Caenorhabditis elegans: one gene and its partners. The protein of the gene in region 4 purifies or fractionates together with the protein of the main gene of each other region. This does not show direct contact. Each region holds a gene or a part of one and is shown on either strand. Other genes may lie near its edges.

Evidence for each region.
Region 1: the proteins of chc-1 (region 4) and clic-1 fractionate together in Caenorhabditis elegans (co-fractionation; one large-scale study listed by BioGRID). This does not show direct contact.
Region 2: the proteins of chc-1 (region 4) and cap-2 fractionate together in Caenorhabditis elegans (co-fractionation; one large-scale study listed by BioGRID). This does not show direct contact.
Region 3: the proteins of chc-1 (region 4) and vps-33.2 fractionate together in Caenorhabditis elegans (co-fractionation; one large-scale study listed by BioGRID). This does not show direct contact.

What each region holds. Positions count from the first base shown.
Region 1 is NC_003283.11:7,732,201-7,738,532, reverse strand, and holds clic-1 (Clathrin light chain), read left to right. Parts: upstream 1-3,621; 5' UTR 3,622-3,647; coding exon 3,648-3,741; intron 3,742-3,815; coding exon 3,816-3,874; intron 3,875-3,922; coding exon 3,923-4,287; intron 4,288-4,434; coding exon 4,435-4,597; 3' UTR 4,598-4,909; downstream 4,910-6,332. Other genes in the region: srr-9 (Gustatory receptor), read right to left, coding at 1-212, 263-432, 484-523; srr-10 (Serpentine Receptor, class R), read right to left, coding at 1,509-1,866, 1,944-2,261, 2,335-2,615, 2,669-2,838, 2,884-2,914; T05B11.7 (uncharacterized protein), read left to right, coding at 5,038-5,247, 5,730-5,822, 6,146-6,332.
Region 2 is NC_003280.10:10,866,852-10,873,168, reverse strand, and holds cap-2 (F-actin-capping protein subunit beta), read right to left. Parts: upstream 3,974-6,317; 5' UTR 3,939-3,973; coding exon 3,936-3,938; intron 3,888-3,935; coding exon 3,770-3,887; intron 3,721-3,769; coding exon 3,627-3,720; intron 3,579-3,626; coding exon 3,465-3,578; intron 3,413-3,464; coding exon 3,262-3,412; intron 3,210-3,261; coding exon 3,105-3,209; intron 3,060-3,104; coding exon 2,934-3,059; intron 2,856-2,933; coding exon 2,754-2,855; 3' UTR 2,342-2,753; downstream 1-2,341. Other genes in the region: copz-1 (putative coatomer subunit zeta), read right to left, coding at 1-46, 105-176, 240-257; cyn-4 (Peptidyl-prolyl cis-trans isomerase 4), read left to right, coding at 563-641, 697-817, 864-1,650, 1,707-2,085, 2,135-2,340; gmps-1 (putative GMP synthase [glutamine-hydrolyzing]), read left to right, coding at 4,778-4,831. UniProt on the Caenorhabditis elegans protein: F-actin-capping proteins bind in a Ca(2+)-independent manner to the fast growing ends of actin filaments (barbed end) thereby blocking the exchange of subunits at these ends.
Region 3 is NC_003280.10:6,598,374-6,605,463, reverse strand, and holds vps-33.2 (Vacuolar protein sorting-associated protein 33B), read right to left. Parts: upstream 4,249-7,090; 5' UTR 4,141-4,248; coding exon 4,041-4,140; intron 3,991-4,040; coding exon 3,866-3,990; intron 3,816-3,865; coding exon 2,432-3,815; intron 2,378-2,431; coding exon 2,248-2,377; intron 2,200-2,247; coding exon 2,085-2,199; 3' UTR 2,013-2,084; downstream 1-2,012. Other genes in the region: epg-5 (Ectopic P granules protein 5), read left to right, coding at 1-822, 1,218-1,674, 1,723-1,809, 1,904-2,012, 4,334-4,464, 4,510-4,760, 4,814-5,769, 5,819-5,896 and 3 more. UniProt on the Caenorhabditis elegans protein: Plays a role in vesicle-mediated protein trafficking to lysosomal compartments and in membrane docking/fusion reactions of late endosomes/lysosomes.
Region 4 is NC_003281.10:10,200,260-10,210,817, reverse strand, and holds chc-1 (putative clathrin heavy chain 1), read right to left. Parts: upstream 6,998-10,558; 5' UTR 6,947-6,997; coding exon 6,824-6,946; intron 6,777-6,823; coding exon 6,656-6,776; intron 6,605-6,655; coding exon 6,240-6,604; intron 6,194-6,239; coding exon 6,014-6,193; intron 5,906-6,013; coding exon 5,045-5,905; intron 5,001-5,044; coding exon 4,698-5,000; intron 4,651-4,697; coding exon 3,496-4,650; intron 3,450-3,495; coding exon 2,228-3,449; intron 2,176-2,227; coding exon 1,597-2,175; intron 1,549-1,596; coding exon 1,412-1,548; 3' UTR 1,114-1,411; downstream 1-1,113. Other genes in the region: T20G5.9 (Partner of Y14 and mago), read right to left, coding at 1-48, 108-241, 765-834, 892-970; dbd-12 (DB domain-containing protein), read right to left, coding at 8,290-8,392, 8,458-8,576, 8,623-8,715, 8,772-8,867, 8,956-9,195; dbd-11 (DB domain-containing protein), read left to right, coding at 9,492-9,587, 9,759-10,061. UniProt on the Caenorhabditis elegans protein: Clathrin is the major protein of the polyhedral coat of coated pits and vesicles. May play a role in yolk protein clatherin-mediated endocytosis by oocytes during oogenesis.

The DNA of each region.
Region 1 (6,332 bases), on a different chromosome or scaffold from region 4:
ATTGAGAAGCACAGAGCAAGAATATGGAGAATACGGAAGTTATCCAACTTTGGATTTGCCACCTGTCGTAGCATTCGCACTCGAACCAGTCGTTTGCAGAATTTTGAAGCCAATCCATTTTTAGTCCAACCAAAAAGGCACAAGGAACAAACAAATCCAAAAATCGCCGGATACCCGAAAAAACTCGCTTCTCCCCATGAAAAAGAGAATGGCTGAAAATTATTTCCTGTATTTTTAATTATAAAATGCACTGCCTACTTACAGCTCCAGCTGTTTGCATTAAAACTGAAATTCTCATGAATGTTATAATGACAATAATAACTCCAACAAGACATGTAAAAATAGAACAACATTTGGTTTTTGCAGAACAATCTAGCAATGAAACTTTCAAAAAGTGTCTGAAAGGGCCAAGTAACTCTGATGATTTGTCATCTGAAATTTTAAATATAAATTGGGGTTTGATTCAAGTTTGATTCAACATACCATCAAAAGAGAAAACTGGGAGATTTGACATTTTTACCATCAATTTATCGAGTTCTGAAATGAAAACTCTACTCTTTTCTCACTTTTTGAACCTTTATTTATACTTTTTTTGATTGTTTCCATAAGCTTCGGTCTACTGGCACGATTTTTATGAAATGGAGGAAACATTGGGCAAACCAAAGAGACCCAGACGCAGTGTGCGAGCTGGGTACATTTTGTGTGACCGTTTTTGAATCTGAGTCATTTCAAGGTGGATCATATCTACTTTAACAGGTGATATATTCTTGGAATATTTTGCTTCGGATGTGATCCTAATATGTATAAGTCAGGTTTGGAGGTGCTTGAAAACGACATTTTCAACATTAAGTTCAAATTTTTTTAATTTGGTACTAATATGGCATGTAGAAATTCTAAATTTCAGGAATTTGCGTTAATAATCTTGTAAGCAACAAATTCCTAGAAGAATATTCTCCATAACTTAATCCTTTTTTAAGACATTGTTACAGTACCCAGTTCTACTACCTCACCATTTTGGAACTTCAAGTGTAGTTCCATGACATCTCTCAACTTACTTGTATATTTTAATAAATCAACCCGAGAGAGTGTTCGAAATTGTACTTATTTTTGCTGAGGAATGATATATTTTGTCCAATATTAGCCAAAGGCTGCTCCAATATACAAGCTCTTTGTGCACATTTCCTGTGACCAAAAATAATGAGTCAAGTTTGAACCAAAATGTTATCACTAAAAATCATACGGGAATTTTGATTTTTCAGGTATTTCATTTACCTGATAAGGCTTGTTCATTTTTTCTTATTCCGTATGAGTATTTTGATTTTAACAATGTTTGTACACTACTCCTTTCAAATTACGTTTTTTTCTAGTAGTTTTGAATTAGAATATACATATTAAAGAATCAAATGTATGGGGTTTCCCTCAAATTTAAAGTTATTACGAAAAAAAGGTTTCCAGCTTTATTCAAAATTCACAAAATGCCACGCGAGAAACAATTGAGATCATTTAAATCAAACGTGCCCACCATTGGCAAGAATAACTTTTTTAATGATTATTAACAGAAAACCAAAATTTGGAATAATAAATGTACATGCCGCAAAAGTGTTTTGCGTAATTGGTAGGGAAGCTATAATGCAAATTCGAGTCTCAATTTTCTGTAGGCGATCAATCATTATCCGATAAGTTTGATATACAATTGGATCTTTTGTGCATTCAAATTCATCATTATTGATCAAAATGCAGTTGGTAGATTTCAGATGTTCTTGTAGAGTGCATGGTGGAATCAGCACGAAAAATATGTAAAAAATTATTGCAGCAAGGTTGAATCCAAGAATAATTGAGTATAAAAGAGGATTAGAATTGAAGAATCTGTAATTTAAAGTTACTATTTTCAATTATAATTTAGACAATCAGCCAAATTTTGCTACCGGGACTTTTACACTTACGAGGTGATATAGATACCATTGATTAGACTCCACAACAAGAAAAATGGTGCAAATCCGCCAAGGCTCGAAAGTGAGCCATTGGTAACTAATATCATCTCGAGAATTTCATTCTGTCGGATATCGAATTTTTCTAAAACGCCAATGTTTTTCAATGTTTTCTCTTCTTTTGCTTTTTGCAGCTCTTCATTAAAATAATTAACTTCGCGGTTCAGAGCAGAAGAGATAAAAATGTAAATTGCAAGACAGATTGTCGATATGTACCAAATGTAGAAGTTTGTAACCAGAATGAAAATTCGCGAGAGAAAATTTTGCTCTCCTCTGAAACATTCAAACATTTAAAAAAATCGAAATTTCATTTATCATTCCCAGATTTTCCTAGACTAGAACTTACCCTCCATAATATATCTTTCCATTGATGAAATTGTAGATTATCCAAGACATCATTGCTACAAACCAAGGTATTGAGAAGCACAGAGCAAGAATATGCAGAATACGAAAATTATCCAACTTTGGATTTGCCACCTGTCGTAACATTCGAACTCGTACCAATCGTCCGCAAAACTTTTGGACCAGTCCATTTTTAGTCCACCCAAAAACACAAAGGGAGCACACAAATCCAAATAAGGCAGAATATCCGAAAAAATTTCCTTCTCCCCATCCGAACGATAATGGCTGTAGAAAATATCTCGTAAGTTTTTCTGTTTTGAAACTCAATTTCCACTTACAGTTCCAACTGTTTCCATTAAAATTGGAATTCTTATGAGTGTTACTACGATCATAAAAAGTCCTAAAATGCATGTGAAAATAGTCATTCGTTTAGATTTTGCAGAACAATCTAGCAATGAAAGCTTCACCAAATACCTGAAAGGGCCAAGTAGTTCTGACGATATATCATCTGAAACTTTTCAAATCATTATAGAAAAGTTTATGTATACTTCACCATCGGAAGAAAATACGGGAAGGGTGGACATTCCAAAACTTTTAAAATCAAGTCAACTCCGTTCTCATTTTTCAAACCTTTATACAAAGAAGATCCACAGAAATGATGTCAAATTTCTTTTCTTTTTTGTGACTCGTTACGAATGTGAGTCATTTCAAAGTAGATAACATTCACTCAATTTTGTGATACGGTATTTAATGTTGCGGGAACATACTTATTATTGATTAAATAAATATTGATTTTCAATATAGGTGAAAAGCTTTGGGTATTCAACGGGCTTGAAATAGTTTGAATATAATTACACTCATCTAACTCTACTTTGGCAGTGTTTTAAATGTTCAATAAATTCCTGAAAGAGAGAAGTAACATTTTTTGAGCAGTAGTGAAATCGTTTAATTTGAGATTTTAAAACACGGAAGTTTCTCTACAAATCCCTATGATTAATTTCCTTTTCACGAAAATTTTCGCGAAAAATGAAGCTCTGTTGCGAAATTTAATTTTCAAACTTCCGCCAACAACCGGTCGCGTCGCGTGCGCGCGTTGCGGCTCCAGCTGTCCTCTTGATTCATTCCACTATTTCGCTCTTCCCAACACGCTGTCCTTCTCGGATTTTCCAGTTTAACCGCTTGTTTGATTTGTCATCTTCGTGTTTTCTAAAGCTTTTCTGTCTCATAAATCACTTGTTTTATCTGCTAATTATTGATTTTTTCCAAAAACATTTAAATTTTGAATTTCCAGGGTATAAAACACAAAAAAACTACAAAATGTCGGATCCAGTGGCGGATTTTTTGGCTCGTGAACAGAATTTATTTGCTGATTTTGATGGGGCACCACCAGCAGCTGCAGCAGCTAATCCAGGTAAGATTTTGTTATGAAATTTCATGAAATCGATGATTCATTTGTTTATTTTACATTTAAAGTGATTTTTCTAGATGCGCCAGAAGCCGATGCTCCAGCTCCAGCTCTTGATGATGACTTTGGAGACCTCCAGGTTTTTAACAACTTTCTTCAACAAAAAATATAATATTTTGCTTTTAAGATTGCTGGTGACGAGCCACCACCGGTTGTGCATCCAACTGATTCCGGAGTCGATTTGGATGGACTTGTCGACGACAATGCTGCCGCACCAGCAATCGTTGTTCCTGCCGTAGAACCAATGGTGAATGGAAATCATTCTGCTTCTTCCGGAGGTTCTAAAGGTCCATCACCAATTCTCTCAACTGTCCCAAGAATTGAGGCTGAAAAAATTCGACTGTGGAAAGCTCAGCAAGAGCAACTTCTTTCGAAAAAAGATGAAGCTGAAGAAAAGAAAAAGATTGAACTTCGTGCAAATGCCAAGAAGGAGCTTGAAGAGTGGTATAAACAACGCGAGAAGACCCTTCAATTGTCACATGACGAAAATCTGTAAGTTTTCGAAATTCGATTAGATTCTTAAACACGTAAAACCATTTGCATGAAATATTGAATTCAATCATTTTGAACAAAAATAGCTAAATTATTAGAAATTGCTCAAAATTATACTTTTCCCAATTTTCATTTTAAAAATTGCAGGAAAAACGAGAAATCCAATCAAGAACTTTTCGCCAAGCAACAAGATGGAGATGCTCAATGGGAAACAGTGAACAAGCTCGTTGATCAACAAAAATCGAAGAGTGGAAAGGATCTGAGTCGTCTGAAAACCCTGCTTGCTGGTCTGAAACATGCTGGAAAATAAACAAGTATCTTGAATATTTAACGCAAACACTTATATTTTTCTCGCCGTTATTTTTCCTTCGCATATTCGCTTCAATTCTTTTCACTGTTAAATAATGTATTTATTATTTATGAGCAAAAGTAGTCAAGTTTACGTTTCCCGATTTGGTTGTCATTCACTTTCCCTCCCTCCAGCCACCACCATCATTTTGTGTCGCCCTTCAAATTTTTTTCAATTCAATCCCCTGTTCTAATCAATCCATTTGAGCTCCGATTTCCGATAATCCCTTTCTTGTGATAAGTAAAAAAAGAAGATGAACTGTTTTACCGCCCCATGTTCGTCTTTCTTAATAGCGTATCCGTTCGCTTCTGATTCTTGCTAGGTGTTGTGTTGTGTTGTGGCATGCTCTTTTGTTTTTCTGAAATCTTTAGCCCAACGCAGCCAACATCTGGCAGTTTCAGATGAGTTTTGGAGATGGCAATCCCACGTTCGAAGAACTTATGGAAGTTGTGCAACGGCAGCAAGAAGTTATTGAACTTTTTGAGCAACAAATTGAAGCCTGTCGTATAGAATGTGTGAAACTGGCAGATGAAAGTGAGAGAAAGAGTGAGCTGTTTATTGAAATGGAAAAGACTGAAGAAATTATGAAAAATGAAATTGAATTTTTGAAAGTAAGTGAGAAACTTTTATGTTAATATTATTCACATGACAATATCAGATGTTTTTGAAAAAAGGAAAAGAATAAAATACTATTTGATTATTATCCAGATGCGAAAATTTGCGATTTATGGCTCAAATATGGTCTAGACACGACCGAATATATTCAAATGAAAAATAATGTGCGCCTTTAATAAGTACAGTAGTATCCGCGAAAAGGTGTTTTGAAAGTTTATTTGATATTTTCTTTAGAAAACTTTCATTAAAAAATATTTTTGTGAAACTAAATAATTGAGAAAAAAAAACAAAATGTAGAAAAGAAAGAGGAAATTTTTTGTGCAAAAGAGAAAGGCGAAACTGGAGACTACTGTACTTCTTAAAGGCGCACTCTCAATTTTCATTCGAATAAATTAGGTCGCGTCGAGACCGGACATCGTATTTTTGTCTTAAAAATCGCAAATTTCGCCACGCAATAATACATCCGAAATTTCCACAGACCGGGAATGATTCAAAGCGAAATGAACGGGAGGAGAAAATAACTGATTCGGAGCTGGAAACTGTTGGGGAACTTAGGATCAAATGCAAAGAGGTATTTAAATTCTCGGTCCCGCTACGAGTCAAATATATTTCCAGCTACCGTACCCGTGAGTACGGTATGTTTTATTTTTAATGGGTTGGCTGATATGTATCATGTTTCTAATAATTGTTAATATTAAAAAAGGTTATAAATCAAAAATATTAGAAAAAAACGGATACACGCACAATGAAACTCAAGGGTACGGTAGCTGGCGAATTTTCACTGCAATTTTTGCCATATTTCATGGATCATTTTAAGACCAGTGTAAAAGAGAACATGCATCATTAAAATTACCTGAAATACTTTACCAATTGCATAACTATTCCAACTTTCAGATAACCTTCAACCTAGAAAAACTCAAAACTCAAAACGCCGCACAAGAAGTTGAACTGGAACTTCAAAGGAAAAATAATGAACTTCTTCGATTGGAACTTGATTCCGAACGACAACAAAATTACGATGGAAAGCGCAAAGCTACAGTAACCACTGAATCCATTCAGAAGGATATGCTAGAAAAATGTG
Region 2 (6,317 bases), on a different chromosome or scaffold from region 4:
AAGCTTTTTGCTCCTTGACAGTTCCAAAGGTTGTACGGTCGTAGTACTGAAAATCGATATTTTTTCGAGTTTTTTGTATGGTAATTGTGAAATAAACGACAAACCTTGGCAAGAACACGGTTTCCATCCTGATCAAGAATCACAATTCCTTTGATACTGTACAGAGAAGTTGGATTCTGAAATTTCGCTTTTTAGTTAAAAAAAAAAAACTTCAATAATAAGCTGCAAATGAAACTTACAGTGTCAAAGTCTGCCATCTTATTGCAAATCCTCTCTTTTGCTAATATTACCTATAAAATTAAAAATTTATCTCTGAAAAACAATTTAAATGGAGGAAAAACATTGAGAAACAAGATAATCCACGTCAATAGTCAATGAAATTGAGCGCGTAAATCGACATGTGATCGTGGCGAGACCCGAGGTGGCTGGCGGCCGCCGGCCTAGGTTTTCGTGTAGATTTACGAGCCGATTTGTTTTCGCAATTTTTAACAATCGGCATTTTAATTAAGCTTAATAACTACATAAATGTAACTAGTATTTATTTGTATTATTTTCAGATAAAATGGGAAAAAAGCAACATCAGAAAGATAAACTCTATCTGACCACTTCTGAATGGAAATCGATTGGAGGACATAAAGATGGTTTTTATTTAAACACGAGTTATAAATAAAAACAAGATTTAATTTCATATTTCAGATACTGGAACAAGACTCCAAAGAGCACAGTTCAAAAGGTTACCCATCAACCATTGCTCGCTGTCACTTCTACCGTTTGAAGACCCAGTTTGCGCAAGATCAGGAGAAATTTTCGATTTAACGTAAATTTCTGTTTATTTTTTTTACTTTTTATTAAAAAATTTTCAGTGCTATCGTTCCTTACTTGAAGAAGCATGGCAAAAACCCGTGTACAGGAAAACCGTTGGTTGCCAAGGATCTAATCCACTTGAAATTCGATAAAGGAGAAGATGGAAAGTTCCGATGCCCAGTTACATTCAGAACATTCACGGACCACAGTCATATTCTGGCCATCGCTACTTCCGGAAACGTCTATTCTCATGAAGCCGTGCAAGAATTGAATTTAAAAAGAAATCATCTCAAGGATCTTCTAACCGATGTTCCGTTCACAAGAGCTGATATAATTGATCTTCAAGACCCAAATCATTTGGAAAAATTCAATATGGAGCAGTTTCTACACGTGAAGCTTGATTTAAAGACGTCAGAAGAGATTAAAAAAGAAAAAGATGCAATGAAAGATCCAAAATTCTACATTCGACGAATGAATAATGCTTGCAAATCAGTTCTTGATCAATTGGATAAGGAATATGTCCCAAAGAAGAGCTCCACAGAAACTGATGAAACTGCCGATGAGATCAATGCAGCACATTATAGTCAAGGAAAAGTCGCAGCTGGATTCACATCCACTGTAATGGCTCCAGTTACAAGCAATAAAGCAGCTGTTTTGGATAATGATACAGTTCGGTACAGCCGAGTTAAGAAAAATGCTTTTGTGCGGCTTGTTACAAATTTTGGGCCATTGAATCTGGAATTATTCGCGCCGAAAGTTCCGAAGGCCTGTGAAAACTTCATCACACATTGTTCGAATGGATATTATAATAACACCAAATTTCATCGGTTAATTAAAAACTTTATGGTAAATTTATTATAAAAATAGTTAAAGTTATAACAAAAAATAATTAAAAATTTCAGCTGCAAGGAGGCGACCCAACTGGTACAGGACATGGTGGAGAATCAATTTGGGATAAGCCATTCTCAGATGAATTCATCTCCGGTTTCTCCCATGATGCTCGAGGTGTGCTCTCGATGGCTAATAAGGGCTCTAACACCAACGGATCACAATTCTTCATTACATTCCGGCCGTGCAAGTATTTGGACAGAAAGCACACAATTTTTGGGAGACTTGTTGGAGGACAGGATACACTAACGACGATTGAAAAGTTGGAAACTGAAGAGGGAACTGATGTTCCGATGGTTTCAGTTGTTATTATGAGAGCTGAAGTATTTGTGGATCCATTTGAAGAAGCTGAGAAAGAAGTTCAAGCTGAGAGAGCAGAGATTTTGAAGAAAAGTTTCTTAATTCTATTACTAATTTTAAAACTAATGATATCTATTTTCAGCTTCTAAGGACGCAGCTTCATTAGCAAATAAAAAAGCTAAAGAAACTGCAACAAAACCAGAAGCAGTTGGAACTGGAGTCGGCAAGTACATGAAGTCGGCCGCAGCTGTGAATAAACGACAAGGAAAAATGGAAGATGTACCCTTGGAGGCCGCAAAGAAAACTAAATTTGCAAGAGCAGGCCTTGGAGATTTCTCAAAGTGGTGATGAAGACCCTCTCTTTTTTTTTAAATTTAAGGAATAAAATACTTTCATCGAAAATATAATTGAAATGAAAAGTAATCTTAAAGAGGATAATTTACATTGCAAAATACAAAACAGTCGAACGAGCACCTAGAACGAAAATGGTCCAGGAAAAGCTCAAGCTCTTCTCGGAAGGAACATCAAGGCATTTTGGTAATAAATTGTGGAAAAGCCATAGCACATACACTTTGGAGCGAGGAGAAATTGTGGGAAAAGAGATTTTAATAATTCTAGAAAAAAAGTTTACACTCGAGAAAAGGCAATGAAAAAAGGTTTTAAAAGAAGAAACAAGCTGGTATTATGGTAGATAAATATACAAAACTCGCAAATAAAGCATTAAAATGAGAGATTTTGAGCTGCAAATGTAGATAGATCACTCAGTTTCCGCGGTTAGCCATGGCGTTGTTCAACTCGCGAACGATCTCATCTTGCTTCTCGAGCTCACTCTGCTTCTCTGTTGAACGGAGATCCGACATCACCTGGAAAATATTTTTTTCGAAAATTGTACTTTTTAAAAATGAAACTTTTTTCATATAATAAATTTGCATTTTGCTTACCTTCTTCGTCTTTCCAAAGTATATCTCATTGATCGTCAGACGCATTTTCGACTCCTGATCCTCAATCATTCGTCCCATATTAGCCAAGTGTGTGTTCTGATCGTTGATTGGTGCATCCATCTCATGCTATAATATTTCTTTTTAAATATATTCACAACTCGAAACCAAAACCTGTCTTGTAAGGGAGCCACCGAGGTTCATCACACCGCTGGAGCTTTTGTTTGTCTGCAGCCACAGCATGATAGTGGAGGTGAGCTTGTAGTGAGCCTGGCGTGCCTGGAAAATTATAAATTAAAAAAAAAAACTCTTCAACAGTTTTTGAACCAACTCTTTCCGTGATCTCAATAACGTGAATAGAATCCCAACATCCTGTTATATTTTTGGCTCCGTCTCCCTCTTTCTTGATGAGCACAATTCCGGCGAAACCTCCATTATCCAAGTCCCAGAAGTAAACTGATGAGACGCCTCCCTCGAAGTATCTGGAAATTATTATTATTTATGAGCAAATATATGATTTTTCTGTCAACTTACAAATCACGGTATGACTCAAAAGCGGCATTTGCCTCGATTTCCATTTTTCTGCGCTTTTCCGATGGCAATTGTCCATCCTCGAGTGGTGGATCATAGGTATTACTCCATGGTGATCTGAATTATCAGAAAAAATCGATAGATTTCAAATAAAATGACTCATACCTGTAGCTATCGCCATCTCGATTGTAGTCACAAAGCAAATACTGTTTGCCGGTCTCACGGTCCGCGGCGATTTTCAGCGGTTGATCGATAGTGCCTAAAACCATCAAGCGAATTTTTTTAAATTAGTTAAAAAGGAAACATACTGAGAAGATCATCAACAAGATGAGGGCACAGATCGATGAGGTCCGTCAAATTCTTGTCGCAGTGTTGTGGAGGAAGTCTTCGCATCAAGTCGAGGGCACAATCGAGCTGTTGTTCTCCCTGGTAAATATTTATTATAAATTGTTTTTAAAATATTTATTAAAATACCATTTTTGATAGTTTCGAGCCGGATGTGGGTGTGCTCCCTGAAACAATAAACTTTTATGTCAGATTTTAAGTCGTTACAACCTATTAAAAACATAAAAAGACTCTAAACGATTGGGTAATGATTTTTTAGTTCACAAATAAGATTAAATTTCGCAAAAATATATTTTAAAAGCCATTAGAAAGCAGGAAAGTTGCGAAACGGAGCGACCACTTCATTGATTTTACACTCCGTTTCTCTCACTCTCTCGTCCCTCCACCGTACCCATAGTCACTCTCGTCGGCAAATCGCGGCGAGACCCGCGAGCTTTTGGCGTTTCGCCAGAGTTCTTCAAATTTTTGTTTTTTTCTTCGAGCTTTTAAATTTAAGTTTTTTCCGTCAATTTTTATGTTAATAAACCGAAAAAATTAATTTTAAATTAATTGACATGAAATTTTCATCGCAAGTTTATCCGTGTTCTGTACATTCTCATCGCTTCATCTCCGAGAAAACACCGAATCCACTAAATTTTGTTATTTCAGTAATTGCAGCCAAAACGAGTCAAAATTGGAGCGCGTCAGAGTAAACGTCACTGCCGCAACCTTCCATCTGAAGTGAGTATTTAAATGTGAAAATTTTGAAAAACTGGGTGAAAATTCGCGCACATTTCTGTAAATTGGCTCCCGATTTGGTTTTCAACGTTAAAAAACGAAAAAAAGCATTTTCAACGTTTAAACGTGCGTTTTAAGGAGGTTTTCATTATAAATTGCCAAAAAATTCCACTTTCCATTGACTTCAAATCATTATAACCTAGCTTCAGCGTGCAAAAAGAACAAAGGCCGTCTCGAAAGTCAGTGAGCATACTATGAAAAGATCGAGTTCAATGTTGGACATCAACGAGGACAGTCAACATTCCACGGTCAGAACTTGTACTTTTCTTTTGATCTTGCCGCTTTGCTAATGGATTTCTTTTTTGAATTTTCGTTGAATTTAATTATTTTATCGCTGCAAAGGGCTTTTACAATTTTCCCTGAAATCGTCACTATAAAAGAAAAGAAATAATTGCAATTTTATTGCATTCTCCGCAACTACATTCTGTTTTTTCCGACTCCAAATAGTTCAAAGTTCTCTAGAATCACAATATCTTCCTCTGAAGACAAAAGATCAGTTGTCACTAAAGCCACATGCCGACTTTTCTGTTCAAGGGGGGTTCCACCATATGTTTCGGCGCTCAAATTACATGTTTTTTCGCGAAAAAAAGCTAATTTTCCTGTAACCTGAAGGGTTTTCTTTTTAAATAAATAAAAATGTTCACGTTAATCCAGTGATATATCGAAACTAGGTGACCTAATTGACGTGGAGTTCAGATTATACCGGCTTTTCTAGAACTTTCTATCTGATTTTCAGGATTACTGCGCCGTTTCTTGATAGTTTTCGTCTAAAAACCGAGTATATTTTAATATTTGTTGGCAGTTTTTGTCTTATTTATCACAATTTTCAGTGAGAATTCCTTGGTTTTTCTCATGGGATAAGCGTTTTTCACTGGAAAATATATTTTCTTGGTAGAAAATTCTCCTCGACGAAATCGTAGTTATATTCTCCCAGCCGAACACTAAAATGCTGGAAAACTAGGAAACTAGGGTCTAGTTGAAAAATTTTGCAATTTTTCCAAGTACAGCAGCACTTTTTTAAAATATTATCTTTAATATGATTTTCCACCATTTCTCTCTCTCTCTCTCCTGACTTTTATCTTTTTCGTCATTATTTCTTTTTCTCTGTTACAGCACTGGTTCTGCTCTCTCCTTTCCTCTTGTCGTCATTCAAAAGGTTCCCTTTGGTTTTGTTTCTCTCTTTTTTTTTCAATCTCTACGTCTCACCACTCTCTCGCTCTCTCTCACATTGTTTGATTTTGATTTCAGTTTCTGTGCTGAGAGAACTTTTCAACTATCTCTTCTTTGTTTTTTGCTGTCATCTTCTTCCTACTCTTGAAGCCGCCCGATGCTCGGTTTTGAGCCACTCAAAGCATTGAGGAATACTGTTTTTATGAAATTATCACCTTTTATTGCATATTTTGGTTGATTTAGGCACATTTTAAGTCGGTAGGCGTCCAATTTTGATGCCTATCTACTTAAAATGTGCCTAAATCAATGAATTAATTAGAGATAAATGACCAAAAGATGCAATTCAGGATAATAATTTAGGAGAAGTTGGAGTAATTTTAGATTTTAGCAATGTTTGGCTACTTTTTTCGGACTTTTCAGGCCAGTTTTAGTCAAAAAGCTGCTCTTTCCAACTTATTTTGCACTCTATGCCCTGCGTCTCTCACTATCTCCTAACAGTTCAGCCATTTTCACTCTCATTTCATCTGCCTTGGCAGCTGCATGTCAGCAGGCTCCACGTTTAAC
Region 3 (7,090 bases), on a different chromosome or scaffold from region 4:
AGTATCCCCACTTATTCCTGATTCGATGCTATCGATTTCTCCGTTTGCATCGTATGTTATGCTTCGAGTCGAACAAAAGTCATTCAACACTTTTTATGGACATTTTTTCGAAACTCTTACGAAAAAGGATAAGTATACACTGGATAATGCTGTGAAGAAAGCATCATCCAAATGCTCAATTACTGTACCTGTGGAGAGGCTTGCTATTTTCCGATGGGCAAAATTAGTAACTGTATGCAACGATCATCAACTATTGCCAATTCTCTTACAACAACTTTCGGGTTCAGCATATCGATTGAGAAAGGCTAATAATTTGAATTTATGCTATGCCCGACGTCTAATTGATGATCCACAAATGCAAGATGTGATGGCTGCTTGTCGAAAAGCAATCGAAGAATCAACGATTGAAACAAAAGGATTGTCTAAAGCTGTAGTAGGATGGTTGTTCACAAAGCATGAGGTGACGAGAACTGGATTCGATTTTTCTGTATTTGACCTGGACTACCTGCTTCAACTCATTCTTGCTGGTGATAAGAACATGTGGCTAGATTTTGTAAATATGCCATACTTCAATTCTGAGGAGTTTTCGGAAAGAAAGTTGTATTCTGTGACTTGCCAACTGTCACCTAAAAATCGTGAATCACCATTACCACCTGAAATAGGATCACCTCGATCCAGATCTTCGGCAAAACCGTTCCCAGTTCTACCTGTTCATTCTGGATTACCACAGGCTCCGCTCATAGATCCATCTATTCTCTTTCAGCAACATACGGTATTACAGCTTGCTTCTCCATTCATCAACACAATAAAACAACTGTCCAAGTAAGTTTTGATCAATTTGTTACCCCGTTGTGAAGTTTTGTGATTTTTCCACAGTGCCGGTCTCGACGCGGCATTTTTTTTTCAAATGCAACAAGGTGTGTGCCTTTAAAGAGTACTGTAATTTTTTTCGTTGAAAGCTGTGGAATTTTCATTGGTTTTCATAGTTCTTTTTCGATAAATATCTGTATCATCAAAAACTCAAACAATAAAAACAGTAAATCGGTGCAAATTCCGCAGCATCGAAAGTTTGCAATTACAGTACTCTTTAAAGGCGCACACCTTTTCGCATTTGGTAAAAATTTGTCTTGTCGAGACCGGGTACCGTATTTTTGGCACAAAAATCGCGAAATTTAGCGTCACCATAATAAAGTAGCTAACATATGAAATGTTTTCAGGCAGTTCGCACAATCCGGAGATAGAATGTCAATGGATGATGATTCATACTGTAAGCAGATCAAAGCCCTTTACCAACCAACACAGCAGACTATTCCTGTTGAAATTCGTTGCTCATATTGCTCGAAACCGAAAGCATGCACAATGAGCATTAAACCGAATGTTCTGAACTCTGAAATTGATTTACAAATGACTCAAAACAGGACTAAACGTTTCGAATTTTGGAATGAACTTTATGCTTCTATTGTCGATAAGGCTGCTGTAGCAACTGCAAGCATCGAACATCTATCTGTTCTAGTGGCTAAAATGACTTCAGCATTGCATCCTGGAACAAGAAATAATGTGCAGCTCACAGGACATTCACTCTTTTATCTTATAACATCTTCTGTTGGAGAGAATGAGTTGTTATTTAGTGTTGCTTCTGATTCATTTTGTAATTCACTCCGATCTTTGGGAGAAGTAAGCGATATTTTAATTTCTTCTTCATCTATTTATTTTCTATTACAGGAGTATGTCAAATTCCGTCCCGAAGAGCAAATGGACGTCATGCAACTGGCATTAGATGGATTTGTACTCTCTGAACCTCTTGTTGAGGTACATCGCATTTCTAATTAGTGGTGTTTTGTTGGGGGAATTAACAAAGCGGAACATAAAATCACCGCACTTTTGATTCATCTAATTATTTTAGGTCTTCACTCCAGAAGTGCTCAATTCGGACGATTTGTGCACAGCGTATAGAAAGCTATCGGACGCTGTGAGAATGCCGGAAAGAAGCAAGATGGCTTTGCAATTGTTAGGTAAGCAATAATTTATTATGATTCTATTTAACAGAAGAACTAAACCCATATTATATTATACATTAATTCCCGTTATGATCCAAAAACCGAAGATGCGTCTTTAGCTCTGACTTCCAAATATTCTCGCTTTTTGATGACATGCGTTGTGCAGATGAGAATTCTGAAGTTCTTTTGAATCGCCAGCAGCCTGAAAGAAACATTTTGTTCTTTCGCTGTAATTATAATTTGTACTCACCGTAAAGCTGCCACTTCCCAATAGGTAATTCCGCCGTTGACAAAGACCATGATGGCTTTTCGAGTACGATTATCTGGTCGACGATCTGCCGCAATATATGTATTCTCTTCGACTAATACTTTATCTTTTCCTGTAAGAAATATGTATTAGTTTCAATTATGAATCAAAAACTAAAACTGCTTACCAATAATTCGTTCATATTCTGCTTGATTCCATCCATGATCTATTGTATCTTCAACGATTTTGCAAAGCAGGGGAGAAATTCTTGCACCGAAAACATAACTCATATCAGAAGGATTTGACATATCCATTGGCTCGTTTCCCTTAACGATTCTGAACTTTCTTGCCAATGTTTCCCATGTCCTGGCACGTTCCGAAATAGTCCGATCGTGTGCGATATGTCGACGGGCGTAAATAACACGGGAATTTCGAAGATTCTGAAGTTCGAACATATGCTCGTATCCGTACTTTTGTAGATACATTTCCACGAATTCGTTGTACGTATCATCAGGAACTCCGTCTAATTTGAGAGATGCAAGTGACATCATCGATAGAACCACATCACGACAGGATCTCATCGGAACTCTTTCAAAAACAAAATCAAAATACTCTTCATGGGTTACGGTTCCGAGTAGCATTTCGTGTTCTAATTTGAACATGGTTCGATAATCTTCCATTTTAACTTTATTCATCATCATTTCGCATGCATTAATGTGCAATTCACAATGCTTGTGATCCTTTTTGAGCGCTCTCAGGTCTTTTTCAACAAAGTTTCTATAATCCGCAACATCATCAATCATCGATGATTTTTCGATACTTTTCTGTATCGATTTCGCTTTGGAATGTAAAAACTCCAGGGCAGCTGTGACGTGCTTGTTTCGAATCGATGCAAAAATGTCCTCACAATTATCCAATTTCACTGTATCTCCTCTATTTTGTTGATGTGCCTCCTTGTCTTCTTCCGGATTAATCTCGATCCAATCAAAATCCAATGGGCCAGTTTGAACTTGTTTCCGTAGATCTACTGGGAAAGCAAGCTTCCCACAATCAATGGTAAAAAATTCATGAAGAAGACCTTCGTAAGATGCTCCGGTCAACAATACAGGAACCGGATCAAGTTGACGATCGAATAGGAATAAATGACTAATTGGTTGATCTGGTCGAGCTCGAAGTTCGTTACTAGAGCACAGTGCATGAACTAGGTTCCATAAATTCTTCGATTCAGATCCCAATCCGTAGACTGTTGGGATTACTCCGTATAAATTTTGAAGTGCTACAAACATGTTGGCAACAGAGAAAAGATCCGGTTGCGCCGATTCCACATGTTGCAATGAAAATAAATCGCTTTCTAACGGCAAAAGGCACATATTCAGGCTAAGTTGAGTTATGTGTCCAATGACTCCAGACGATTCAAAAGCGAGATCGCATTCTTCTAACTGCCTGTTGCACCAGATCACACAAATAGATCGGTTTTCGCTTGACTCTTCCACGTACTCGACAATTTTTCTGGCGTTTTCTACGTTGGGTCTTAGAAAGAAGACTCGCTGATCGATTTCGATGTTCCAAACCTTTGAGAAAAAACAAAAATTACCAAATATAATTGGACTTCACTATTTACCTGTGGTGATTTCTGTAAATCAAAATGCATTATTCGTTTCACTCCGTGTCGTTTCATATCTGATGATGTGGCAATCATATCGAGTGGTCTTAACAGACATTTATCGATAAAAAGCTCTTTTGTTCCTGAAATTATAACATTCACAAAAATGAAAAAAAAACTATTATTTGAATACCTGGTAATGTTTCTAAATAATGTATGAATTCCCTTTGCATAACCATCCGAAGCAAGTGCAAAGTCTCATCGATTTCCAGCTCGGCGGTACCCGGTGCCATGGTTGATTGTTTGAACTTTTCAAATAAATATAGTCATGGAAATAAAATAAAATAAATTGAGTCTTCCTGCGTGGTAATATTATCGTTCTGCATTGAACCGCGAAATGTGATGCATGCAGACACGGCAGCATACTTGACGAGCGAAAAGAGTATATAAGATGAAGAGACGCAGACATCAAAAGTTTTCTTACAGGTCGCCTTGGCATGCAACAAGCTGCCGCTGGCTTACCTCCACATCAATTCGCCGCTCTTTTGCCAATTGCATTTGCAAATCTTGCCAGTCAACCAGATCCTTCGTCTCCACTTCATGCATTGTGTTTACAGGTAAAATAATATAAGAAGACACACAAACATTCTGGTTATTTTCAGCATGTCATTTTCTTTGTGTTTCACCATTTCCCGGATAACATTGTTAATGGACTTGACTTGACTCTGGATGGATGTAACACGAATTCAACTCCTGCTTCACTTTTGGACGCTATTGTTGATAAATTGGATGCAAACGATTACTTGAAGAAGAAAAATTCGTTTGACTTGGGAGCTGCCAAAGCTGATGAATGTGCTAGAATATTGTCTAAGCGATTGGATGAAGCAAGAACAAAACTTCCGAATTTCTATGGGTAAGTGTTTATGATCGTACATTTTATTATTTTTTGGAAAACTCTATTTTTAGAATATGGTCTCGTTACTTGGATTCAGTAACTCGTCTCGCGCAACTGTTCCTTTTTGTGCCTATTCGTGATGGATACGAGCCCAACAAGTCAGTTTCAGTGCTGCAAAGAGAATGTTATGAATATTTCACCCGTGTTGCCGCAGTATTTTCGCCATTGATCGCCCCATACTCTCCAACTCACCCACCTTTCTCGACCTCCCATGAAGCTCAGGCAATGCTCGTTCTCGATCGATTCGTCGACTTTCTATCTGCCCTTCATTTCAATTCAAGTATACCACCTGGAATGCAGAACATTCAGTCATTGGTTTGGCAGTATTATTGTGAAAAACTTTCTATTCTGACACATGGGACTCAACACTATTATGATGTTATTGAACGGCAACTAGTACGACTGAATTGGCAAGCTCTATGGCCATCAAGACTCGCTATAACAGCAATGGAAAATTGTCTGGATACAAGATCACAAGACTGTGCTTCATTTATTTCACAAATGGTTGCTCGTATTCCGTGGAGCAATATTCTTCAAACAATGCACGAGGATAGTAGACCAAGCTACTTGGCTTCTTTATTCGGAGTACTTGTTCGTCTTGCTGCTCGTCCTCGAAATTATGATAAAGTCCGTGCATCGTTGCTGGAGCTTTGCAAATCATTTTCGCTACGATCTGACTGGAATAAAATTTATCCGGAAGATGCTGCCGGAATAGCATCTGCTGTAACAAAATGTTTGCCCTCGGATTCATTATCAAATCCCGTGGAAATGGTATCAGTAATTCAAGTTATATGGAGGAAAATCTGTTGTTTTGTTGTACGTGAGCCATTCTCCGAAGTATCCCTTCAAAAACAGAAGTTGTGGATTCAAACCGAAAGTTCTCTACTTTTGAAAGCGGAGTCCTCACAAATTCCCGCAGCTTACAATTCACTAATTTCGGATGTGAATGCACTAGCCTTGAATCACTGTAAGTATATTTCCAGAAACTCAATTTTTCATTAAATTTTTCTCTACAGCAAATCTACGAGAATTCCGGGTCGTCACTCGCGAACTGACAGCAATGTGGAAGAATATCACAGATGCCAAACTAGGAGGTAAATTAATTTATATATAGACATCTTTATTCAAATTTTTAAATTCAGAAGCTCTTGTATCTATATGGTCGGAATATTTGGCTGCAAATCCAACTTCTCCTCTTGTTCTAACATCTGTCAATACTTTAGTCGATTCATTGAACATTGATCAGTTGACAACTGCATTGAAAGTTATTGAAAAAGTTATATGTGCCTACTTCCTAAGTAAGTGAGATTTTATAATCTCTTAATTTATATTTTTGGTACTTCAGGAACGGACAGTAACTGGGCAGAACTTCTTCATTGGATTCAATTTCCCACAGGAAGCTTGAAATCTATCAAATCATATCTCATGACTGTACCATCATCAGAGAACAAAGTTCAGATGCTCCCATTGACTCTAAAAATTTTCATGGATTATGGGGGCGTTGATGAGAACAAATTCTTTGATTTGCACCACTACGTGATCAGTATACGTCCTAAACATGTCGCCTCGGAATCTGGTTTCATATGTCTCCTGGCTCGTCATCTTCAATGGATGGCAAATCGTAGTTCTGCACTTCCTGCTCATTTTGCACCAAGTGATGACCTTCTTTCATCTCTAATTAAATATCTTGGAAAAGCTTCCAAAGACGAATCGAGTTTTTTGACTGCCCTAATCAGCAGCAAAAAGACAGCATATTCTCAAAAGTATGTTTAAATTAATTTTATTGCAACCATTGAACAAAAAAAACTTATTCAGAATGCGTGTTACTCTTCACATTCTGGAACTTTACTTGACGCAGCAAACACTCGGAGAAGGAAAGCGTCCTAGATGTGATGCCAACTCACCGGTACTCAATTCTCGTATATCAACCTTGAAGGATCTAGCTCAACAAAAATCCAATCAGAATATGAGCAATGCATTCAACAAAGCCACCGCATATTTTGTACAGATCGAGACTCATCGCATCCAATCATCGCCCAAATTGCTTCTCGAAATAGGTCGATCCGCGTTTGGAGATCTTTTCCTTACTGATGTATAATTGTATCCTATTTTTCTTTGATTTCCCCATTCTTTACTCATTTTCTGGATCCCATTCACTACTTTTATGTGACAGCAAATAACGGGTTTCCTGCTCACCGATTCATTTGTGTTCCCTCATAGTCAGTTTTATGCACTTTGTATCCCTATGCACCTCATTCCCATTTTCATTAATGTGAAATAGTCATGGA
Region 4 (10,558 bases):
TCTTTTGGAAATGATCCTGTGGTGTGATGCATACGTTAGCTTTGATGGCTGAAAAAATGGAGAAAATATTATACAAATATGTATAATTTATTATATTTAAGACTCACCACTGACAGGCTTACGGGATGAACCAGAAGCCATTGCACGTGGATTCACTCCTGCTGGAACAGAACTTCGGCCGTTTGTCGCTTCCAGCTGCATTTTATTTTGATATTTTGGTTGTTCATCTTGAGGAATATATCTGAAATTTGTATTTTTATGTACTTGAAAGGCGTACTTAAAGGCGCACAGATTTTGGGTCTCGCCGCGAGAAAAATTAATTTTTTTACAGTGTCCTTTTTTCCCCGAAAATTAATTTTTTTTGATCTTTGTTAAGATTTCTATGAAATACAACTAAAAAAGCGGAGAAAAGATCTTGAAAGTTGCGACGCGGATTTATGCATGTCGATTTACGAGAAATCTTGTACTACACGTGGACAAGTGGCAATTTCGCATTGTTTTACAGATTTGGCTTCAATTGTACAATCTTTTTAATTCAAAATAATTAAATTAGGAATAATTTAACGAACAACACAACGGTAAAATATACAACTTTTTGTGAGAAAATTATGAAATTCCCCGGAAAAACTACGATATTTCTTTCAAAATTTCGCCTAAAAATCAGCAAAAACAGCCGAAAAATCGAAATTTCTGTCACGTCTAGTACAAAATTCTTCGTAAATCGACAAGCGGTATTATATTCCCAGTATCGCCAGATTACTGACCCTCCTTTCACTCGTCTCGCTTTTCTCCAAGTTCCGTCGGCTCTTTGTGTTGCTGTGATGAATGTTTCACCTTCAAAATAATTAAATTTATACAAAACTTCGCGGTGGAATTTTTTAATCTACGAACCATTTTCAGTCTCAACACGTAGATCACCACCTTCACTACACGATGGCTTCGTCTTCGCGGCGGCGGGCTTAGTAGACATTATACGGCCTGAAAATGGCTTATTCTAGATCTCAATTTAAAAAATTCAGCTAGTGAATAATACAAAAAGTTAAAATCGTAAAACTAAAATGTTATGATGATGGACTGAACCAGTATTTCATCCGAAACTCGAACGCGATTGGTAACAACGAATTAATTTATTCATGATGGTTCTGGTGGTTTAAAAGAGTTGTGATCAACTTTTTTTTGAAAACGGGCAGAACTGAGAGAGACGACACATCGGACCAACAACCTTAAGGATAAGTTCACGGATTAGAATACAACCATCACAATTTCATAGGGGACGGAATAAATAGAAATAGAATATCATAATTTAAACAAAAAAAGTGTATAGACATCAAGCAATAAATTACAATATAATTATTGATGCGGGGAGAAAGTGAGGGGGTGGGGGTAAGAAAATGGGGATAAAACTATCGAATTACATAAATCCAGGGGCATTATATCCTGGTTGTCCAGGTTGACCGTAAGCAGGCTGTCCGCCATAGCCACCAGTTGTTCCTGGATAAGTCATTTGTGGGGCAGGGGCACCATAGGTAAGCATAAGTTGTGGTTCCACTGAAAATATCAAATAAATTTAAATTCTAAATATTTGTTAAAACTCACTGGTCATTCCATTGTTTTGTTGCTGCTCAGCCTTCTCCTCTTTCCTCTCATGCTCAGAACGCTCCAACTTCTCAAGTCTCGTCTGATAATCTCTCATAACTTGGATCATGTAAGGCATGGCGTAATCCATAATCTTATGCTTCCAAGCGAGCTCCATGATGACATCGGGGTGAAGGAGATCATAACAATGGTAAAGGGAGGCGGCAAAACAATCATAAAGTTTCTCATCCAGGAAGAATGACAAGAGCTCTTCGGCGAGTTCTCCGTTTCTCGATTCTGCAGCGTATTCCATGGCATCCTTGTACAGCTTGTCTTTTTTGCAAAGCTCGATCGATTGCTTCCATCTGTTGTTTCCCTTGAACAAGTATGCGGAAATTCTTCTGAATTCCACAAGTGGGTGCTTCTCAAGTTGTTGGGCCAAAGTGATATTGTCAAAGTTGTCTTGAGCCTCAATAGAAGAACGAAGCCCGGCGTGATCCTCCTCATCAATGAGCAACTGATTCAAAGCCTCGTTGATAGCCTTGTTGTTCAAGTTTTGAACTTGTCTCAAGTAAGGCTTGACCAGTGGGATTTGCTTCACTGAAAATTATTGTTATTAAAAGTTTAAAAACTAAACGAAATTTAAACTTACGCTTATTGAAGAACAAAACTGTGCGCGAATGATCCAACCGAGGCGATAGCACAGTAAGAAGGTCATTCAGGAGAAGTGGCTTATAATCCAGGTAGAACTGCATTGCTTTGTAGTATAGCTCAACATTAGCGACTTTAGCGATGACTTCCTTGAAATGTTGCTCTCTCCAAGATTCAGTTGGATGCTGCATCATTGTCAGTGCGGCGTTATCATATTCTTCGTATTTATCGTACAAGAACACCAACTCGGACCAAAGATGAGCCTGCTCGGCAGCACGAAGAACTTTTGGAATATTAACACGGCTCCAGAACAATTCCAAATGCTCACGCATCTTCTCTGGCTTATACTTCGAGTACAAAATCGCGAGTTCGGTGAACATTCCCATGTGAGCCCGTTCAAGACCCAATGCAGCTTCGAGAAGAGCAATGAGCTCTTCGAAATGTCCACGATCTTGGTAGAAGTTGATCAATTCCTCAAGCTCATCAGCGTGGACAACGATGTGAAGTCCACACATCTGGGCAAGCCGGAACTCTCCATTCTCGACACAAGAGAAGCACACTTGTTTCCATGTCTTCGTGCTGTTGGCTTTGCGTGCAGCATCGACAGCTCCTTGATATTCTCCAAGACGAACAAGAGTAACGGAAAGTTTGGCGAAGTTGGAAACATTGTTGAAAAGGATCTTAGCGGAATCGAACATTCCATTGTCAAAGCAACGATCTCCAATTTGTCCGATTTGAGCGTGATTTGGTCCAGCGATAAACTCTTCAAGTTCAGTGAGACGACCAGTCTTGGCCAGAGCAAAAACGAGTTCCGTTTCGATGTATGACTCACGACTCTTCTTGCGAGCCATTTGAAGGTAACGAACAAGATCTTCCCAGTGCTCCGTTTGAGAACATTTGTTCACAACCTCCATGTACGCTCCTGGATCATCGGCCTTGATAAACGAATCGACAGCCTCCTTCACCAAATTTTGTTGGAGCTGTGCCTTGGCTAAAGATGCCCAGACATCTGACTGGTTGCACTTTTCAGCAAATTCGTAAGCACGATCCAAATTGTTCACGTTCTCGATAAGAACATTGATGGCACTTGAGTTCACATCGAATTTCTTGAAAATGGCAAACGCTTCTTCGTAGAGTTCAGAAGTTATAGCAATGTTAGCAATATCTGGAGCATCATAGTTGTCAAGCTTTTGAATGTACTCCATCACACGAGTTCTATCGGCCTGAAAGTGGATTGATCGAATATGTTTTCTAAAATAATTAACTTACTCTCATTGCAGTCAAAATGAGCAGATTTTGAAGATTACGGTGCTCCGAGAATGCAGAGTTATCGAGAACAATCTTTTCCAAAAGTTCAATAAGTTCGTTCGGCAAATCGGCAGCCATGAATGCCTTAACAGTCACAGAGATGTCTTCGGGATCTTGAGTTTCGGAAAGAGCAGTTTGAACCACTTGATCTATCAGCTGTCTACGATGAACATTCTCTTCGTTGAGAACTTGCTCCCACAGAGTGAAGTCTCTTCTCTTCACCAAATATCTTGCAAGATTCTTGAATAGTGAATTCTCGTTGCACACGTTGATCAATTCAGCGTCGCACTGTCCGCGTTCGTATGACAAGAAGGCGTAGTGAGGATCACGCTTTTCGCAGTACTTTCCAACAACTTTGCTATCGTAGTAGGGATTTTCCTTCAAGAATCGTTCGGGATTGTTGTTAGAATCTATGTAAATCTTGGCCATCGCATTGTGGGTAGCAGCATCAGTCGCTCCCTCCTGGATTTTCGATTCAAGCCAGTGATTCAAAAGCTTCAAACGATTGCGTTTCTCAACTTCCTCGACAAGCTCATCAATGTCAAACTTTCCACGAGTGTTAATGATCAATTGTTTGATAGCATCTTCACTACAATCAACATCTAGAAGAGCACCAACAACGATCGGAAGACGGGCGGCATTAACCTTTTGAACAAAGACTTCAATGTACTTCTGGAGCTGGTTTCTGTACAGGTAAAGAACAAGATCATGAACCATGTTATGACGATCGCAGACAATGATCAAAGGAAGTTGATCGTTGAGCTTGGCTTCCTTAAGGAAATTCTTGACACGTTCGGCATCATAACATTGCGACTCTCTACAGATACGCTCAACCTCTTTAATTTGCCCTGTGCGCGTGGCAGCTTGAATGTACTTGAAGTGAACTTCTGGGTCCTGGCTGAAGTTGACAATCGAACCAAGGAAGTAGAAAAGACCTTCGTATGACTTGTGATTTTCGAACATCTCAATCAGCTTGTCAGCTCCGAGCTGTTCATGATACTTGGATGCAATCTGCACAACGACTTGGAGGTTCTGTCGGATATTCTGAGTGAGCATGGCTTTCAAGCATTCGACCGAATCTTCAACAGAAAGGCTTCCGAAATATCCAACGAGCCACTGAAAATAAATTAGCATTTATTTTAGAAATCTAATTAGAAACTCACATCAGGCTTGAGAAGATGGGTGTGAACAACAGTTCGCTTAATGTCGTAGAGGTCAGTGAAGTGTTCGAGAGCTCTTTGAAGAAGTCCAGCCTTTTCGCAGAGTTGTCCGATAGCGGCACGATCGTAGTGAGAGAACATCTTGTTGGCTAGAATAGCATCGGCAACAGCTGGGGCAGCGAGCAGATTCATTTCAAGAAGTCTCGTTTGCAGATGTCCTTCCTCCGGCTTATCACCCTTCAAAACTTCGAGAAGGAATGAAGTGCATGGTTGAACAGCTTGAACCTCCATGAAACAGTCAATGATCTGAAAAGGTTTAAATTAGCCAAATCCTTATTCTCATTCGTTACCTGTGAAAGATCAGCAAGTGGTTCTCCGTTTTCGCTCTCAGAGACAAGAAGTTGAGCGAATTTTGCTCCATGATCAGGATTCGAATTACGGAGAATTTGACGAAGTTGGAACAAATAGTCTGGTTGGAATCCGACACGCTTGGCATACATTACGATCTTGTCGAATTGTCCAGTTTCAGCAAAAGATTGAACAACCTTGTGCGGGACATTTCCACGCAAATAGACTGAAAGAGCAGTATTCACATCGTGCGGCTTAATGAGATCTCCCAATTCTTCACAACACTCCAACTTCTGATCATTGAGCCACTTCGTTATCAACTCCTTTCTTCCTTGTGCCAAGACCGGACGACACAGCTCGAGTGTTTCGTATTTATTCAACTTTCCTTGATCGAGAAGAATTCCGAAATATTGAAGAAGTGGAGATGGTCCTGGACCAGTAGACGGGCACTGCTGGAACTTTTGAATGGTGGCTGGTGTTCTCAAAATTCCTTGTGGAGCCGATGCAGCAACCTTGGCTGATTCTCCAAACTGTCCGTTGCTGAACAACAAGTTGAATTTGCGAACGAACAACTCTTCAGCTCCAGGCAGATCACAACGCACGGCCAACTTCAAAGCCAAATCTGGATTTTGCAGCTGGTTCGTAACGAACGGAACCAAGTTAGCTTCATCGATAGAGACGGAAAGAACTTGTCCCTTTCTGTTAATTCCCATTATTCCTCCTGTAGCTGTGTATTCACAGGTCACAAATACGGTATCAGTCGAAATTCGATTCGAATAAATCCGTGTTCCAGACTCGACATCATAAAGATGAACATATCCTTGCTTTGTTACCAGGTAAATAATTCCTTGCTTCGCAGATACCTGAAAACCAACAATTTATTTTATAAACAACACCATTCAGCTTTTGAAATTATAAACAATCAATCAGAAAGATATCAAATTTTGTTTATACGACTATAAGCAACATACCTGCATAGACACTGGAAAATCGCCAGCTGTGTCAGCGGTATATGGAACATCAACATTCTTCTTTTGGAAAGGAGTGTTTCCAGCAGCTGGGGTTCCTACTTCAATAACGTGCAATTTTCCTCCATTATCGGTTTTGACGGAAAAACAGAATAAGTTAGATGGGTTTTGGTTTCCATCGACCTAAAACATTATTAATATGACAAATCCATCATCGAATTAGTCCTACCTTGAATCGAACGAAGCAAGCGGCATGGCCTTCGATTGGCTGCGATACTTTTCTCTCGGTACTGTACAATTGCATACTTCCAACGACACGGGAGTCTTTTGCGGAAATTCCAATAAGAACGAGCCACTTGTTTTCGGCATCAGCGCGATAATTTATGATTTGAGTTCCGGCCAACGACTGATGTCTATCGAACATCTTGACTGGAGCTGCATCACCCTCGATCGACCAATGATAGACGGCTGTGTCGGAAACGAGTGCAATCGTTTTCTCACTGATCCACTTCCAATAAACTACATCTTCTACATTCTGATGAGCTTTCACTTTTGCTTTCAACTCAATATTGAAAATTTGAAGTGTCTTGCCAGCTGAAAAAAGGTATAAATAAGCTTCAGAGTCAAATGGTACTGAAAACTAACATTTCAAAGCAAGAATTTTGGCAGTTGGGTGCATGATTACTGAGTCAGCAGAAATTGGACGACGAGTTGGATTCGCTGTGTCGGCCAAATCAATAATCACAACCTGTTGTTGATCACCAATCTGGAAATTATCCGTTTAGAACAGTTAATTGCGATTATTTGACCTACCATCTCACGAACAACAATGTTCTTATCAGATTCCATTGTGACATTGGAGAATGTAATGTTGGGCACCCGAATTCCAGCATTCGGAAGCTGCAGGTGCTCGTGAAATTTGATTGGGAGCGCCATCTTTGAAAACTGTGTGTAGAATGGAAAAACTTCTTACAATAAATTATATACCTGCAAATGGAGATGTTTGAAAAAAAAAGAAAAGAGAACACGATAAAAATAAAAAGATGAGTCACGTAAAATTTATCACAAAAGTGAGACATTTCCGGGAAATAGAAGTGAATATCGGTAGATTGAAGGAATAAATGGAAAAATATACAGCTTTAAAGCTAGCTTTGGCCGCTGTTATTACTGTGAATGATTTGAAATGAAGGAAAAATTGTAATTCCAAAAGTTAGAACTCTTTGCTGAGTAAAGAAAAATTTTTGAGGACTCATAGCGCACCTAAAAAGAGGGAAAACGTAAAAATAAAACAATTGAACGGAAATGTCTTATCAAGAGAGAGCTTTGTCAAACATGCAGAAGCCAGTTGATCGAGAGAAATGATTCCTGTTTGCCAAGCTTGAACAAGTCGCCCTGTCATCACAGGGCACGCGACGCGACGCGCCCCGCTTCTCGGTAGAGCGCGCTTTTCCGCCGAATTTCTTCTGGGAATTTTCTTCGCTTTGGGCGGAGTTTTTAATTTCACAAGGAAAAATTTATGTTTGTACGGCCGAAGGATTGACAAAAGAAAAGCGTTCGTATGAAATGAATGAGTCATCAGCAATTACGACAGTGAATTACGTGTTTGGATTAAGAAATGATTGCCGTGAAATATTGAAAAGAAAAAAAAAACAAATTTGATCTGCGGATAAACTTTGTTTTCTCAATTTCAATCAGTAGATCACTCATACACGGAAATTTTTCGAGTTTTACACAAAAAATACAGTACGGGGTCTCGACACGACCAATTTTCTTTGATTTAAAAGTGTGCGCGCCTTTAAGGAGTACTGTAGTTTGGAACACTTTTTTTGAACATTTCATTTTTTGTTCTGTTTTACCGAAATTCAAGGAAAAACTGAGATAAAACACGTTGAGAATCCAACAACGTTGCGCAAAAAAAAACCGATTTTTTTGGTCCAAAATACAACGAAAAACTGTTTTCAAAATTGAATTGTATTATAATTTTTTGGCATTTTTGAATAAAAATGTTATGTATTGTTTTCTGTTCAAATTCTCTTGTATTAGCCCTGCTGGAAGTTACAGTACTCCACGGACCGAAGATCACACTTTTTGCATTTAAGAGAATCTTTCGTGTCGAGACCCGGTACCGGTTTTTTTATGCAATTGCCACAGAAATTCGCAAATGTGTAATAGTTCCGCTTTAATGGAAAATGAAATACAAAGTATGTCGTGATGGGTATTGCGAAATCGCACATTTTATTTCGAAATCTCAAGTTAAGTAAATATAAAATCAAAAACAATTAATAAGATGTACTCTTATCCTGCAAACTCTTTTTCGCCTCGAAATGTGTGATTGCATCCGACTTCACATTATCATAGAAGCATCGTTTCATGTCCTCGAACCTGCAACCAATTTAATTCAACATGACTTTTGCCTCGAGAATTGGAAGATAAAAAGATATGGAAACCTGTCTAGGCAAGGCGCATAGCTGTAATCAATTGGAGTGTAGAGATCGGGTGTTTGATCGCAGAAGGTTAGACATTTACTTCCAGCCGTCGTTGCATCCACCTGACTTTGTGAGCAACACTGAAACTAGTAAGAAGTTATTGAGCAGATTTCAACGACCTTTTACCTGGCTATGATCTTTTCCTTGAGCCGCACAAAATTGCATTTCTGGCAGGAATTCAATCGGGCATTCACTTGAACCAAAGAACATTGATTCCAGCTATACAATTTTTGAAATTCAATTTCACAATATAAACTTGACCTATTTAAACCTACCACTCCTTTGTTATAAACATTAAAATGGCATTTCTGAACACATGCGGGAGGCAACTGTCGTTCCTCACAGCATACATGGAACAAGTGGTTAGGATTCTGAAAATTGATATGAAATATATTTAAAAGTTTGACTTTTTTACAGTAAAATCCCCATGATCTACCAAATGTACAGAAACAAACTTACTGTCAACAACTGAATGCTCTTTTCAGTGATTGGAGTTTTCGTATCATTCCAGACTTTGAGTCCAAAAATATTTCCATCATCCTTTCCATCAAACTCTTGAACCAAATCTCCACTAACTCGTTTTGCAGCTCTCGCCTTTGCTTTTGCTCGGCAACCACAGCAACCACATGCACCACTAGATCCACATGCATCGGTGAGAATGAGGAGAGTAGCGAGAAGAACAAAGAAGATTCGGATCATGATGGTAGAGGAGATATGAAACTATGGAAATGTTACTTGAAACTCTCAGATTTTATATTCATTGATAATTACACTTGACTATAATTATAATTAGCCAAAGCCCAAGTAGATGACCACTTATTCCAGTTACCTCTCGAATATTCTCAAATCCTCTTGAGTTCTCTTGAGTGACTACCAATTAACAATATGTAATTGCGGCTAGGTATAGGTACTCAAAATACCAGTTGCGTCAACTTAATAATTGATATAAAAACCCAAGTTCTGAAGAAGTTTTGCTAATTTTTGATAGCTCTACCATGCAGCTTCTACTCCTTATTTTATCGTTTTGCATAGGTCTAATGCATTGTTGCAGTCAATCAGGTGGTTGCTGTAAACGGCGGACTCCTCCACCGGTAAGTAAAAACATAGTTAACTTGAAATTGAATTTTAATGCCCGTATAACTTTCATAAGTCATTTGTAGAAAGAAAATTTGTCACTGCTATCGAAGTGATTTGACTATCAAAGCATTTGTGACTGTTAAAAAATTCATTCGAATTCATTTTCTGACTCTAATTTTCCACAGGTATCTTGTGGAGGAAATCAATGCCAACAAGGATATGCCTGCGGACAATACGGTTGTGCTCGAAGAAAAGCGTTTGGCTCACTAACTAAACGAATTGACGGAGTCTTGGTAAACGATGAGACACATGAACAGGCTGAGTTGGCAGAAGCAAGTGTCGCGTTACGACCGGAGAAGACATCCCAACATTTAAGTGTTGACAGATTAACAAATCCCAATTTTATTTTCCGATCGTGCTGTGAAGCTCGAGGTCTTCCAGATTCCTGTCTGCAGCTGTGTCATTTTAATACTTATACATTCACAACGGTAGGTCAAACAATTTAAGTTTATCGGGAAGTTACAGTATTCTGGAATTTTGTTAATAGTCTAAAAGGTTTCACCGCATGAAATAATATCAAGTATACAATTTGCTATCTAAAAATTGGAGTTTCTGTAAGAGGTGTGCGGTAAATTTGCCAAATTTGCCGTTTGCCGAACTCGGCAATTTTCAAAAAGTGGATTTGCCGAATTTGCCGAGCTCGGCAAATTTTGAAATATGCCGCACACGGCTGTTTTCTGTGGAACTTTTATATTATAGATTTACAAATAAACAGCTCTCAATCATTTTTTTTGGAAATTTTGTATTAAGCATACCTGACCCAAAAATATTTTCCAATATGCTATCCATTCATTTCTTTTAAAAATGATATTTTAATCGAAATTTTGAATGTTTTGCATTTTTAGGCTTTTGATTTTTTATTTATTTTTTTAAGACTAAAAAGGTTCAAGTAAAAGTTTCAAAATGGTGAATATTTTTGAGCCAG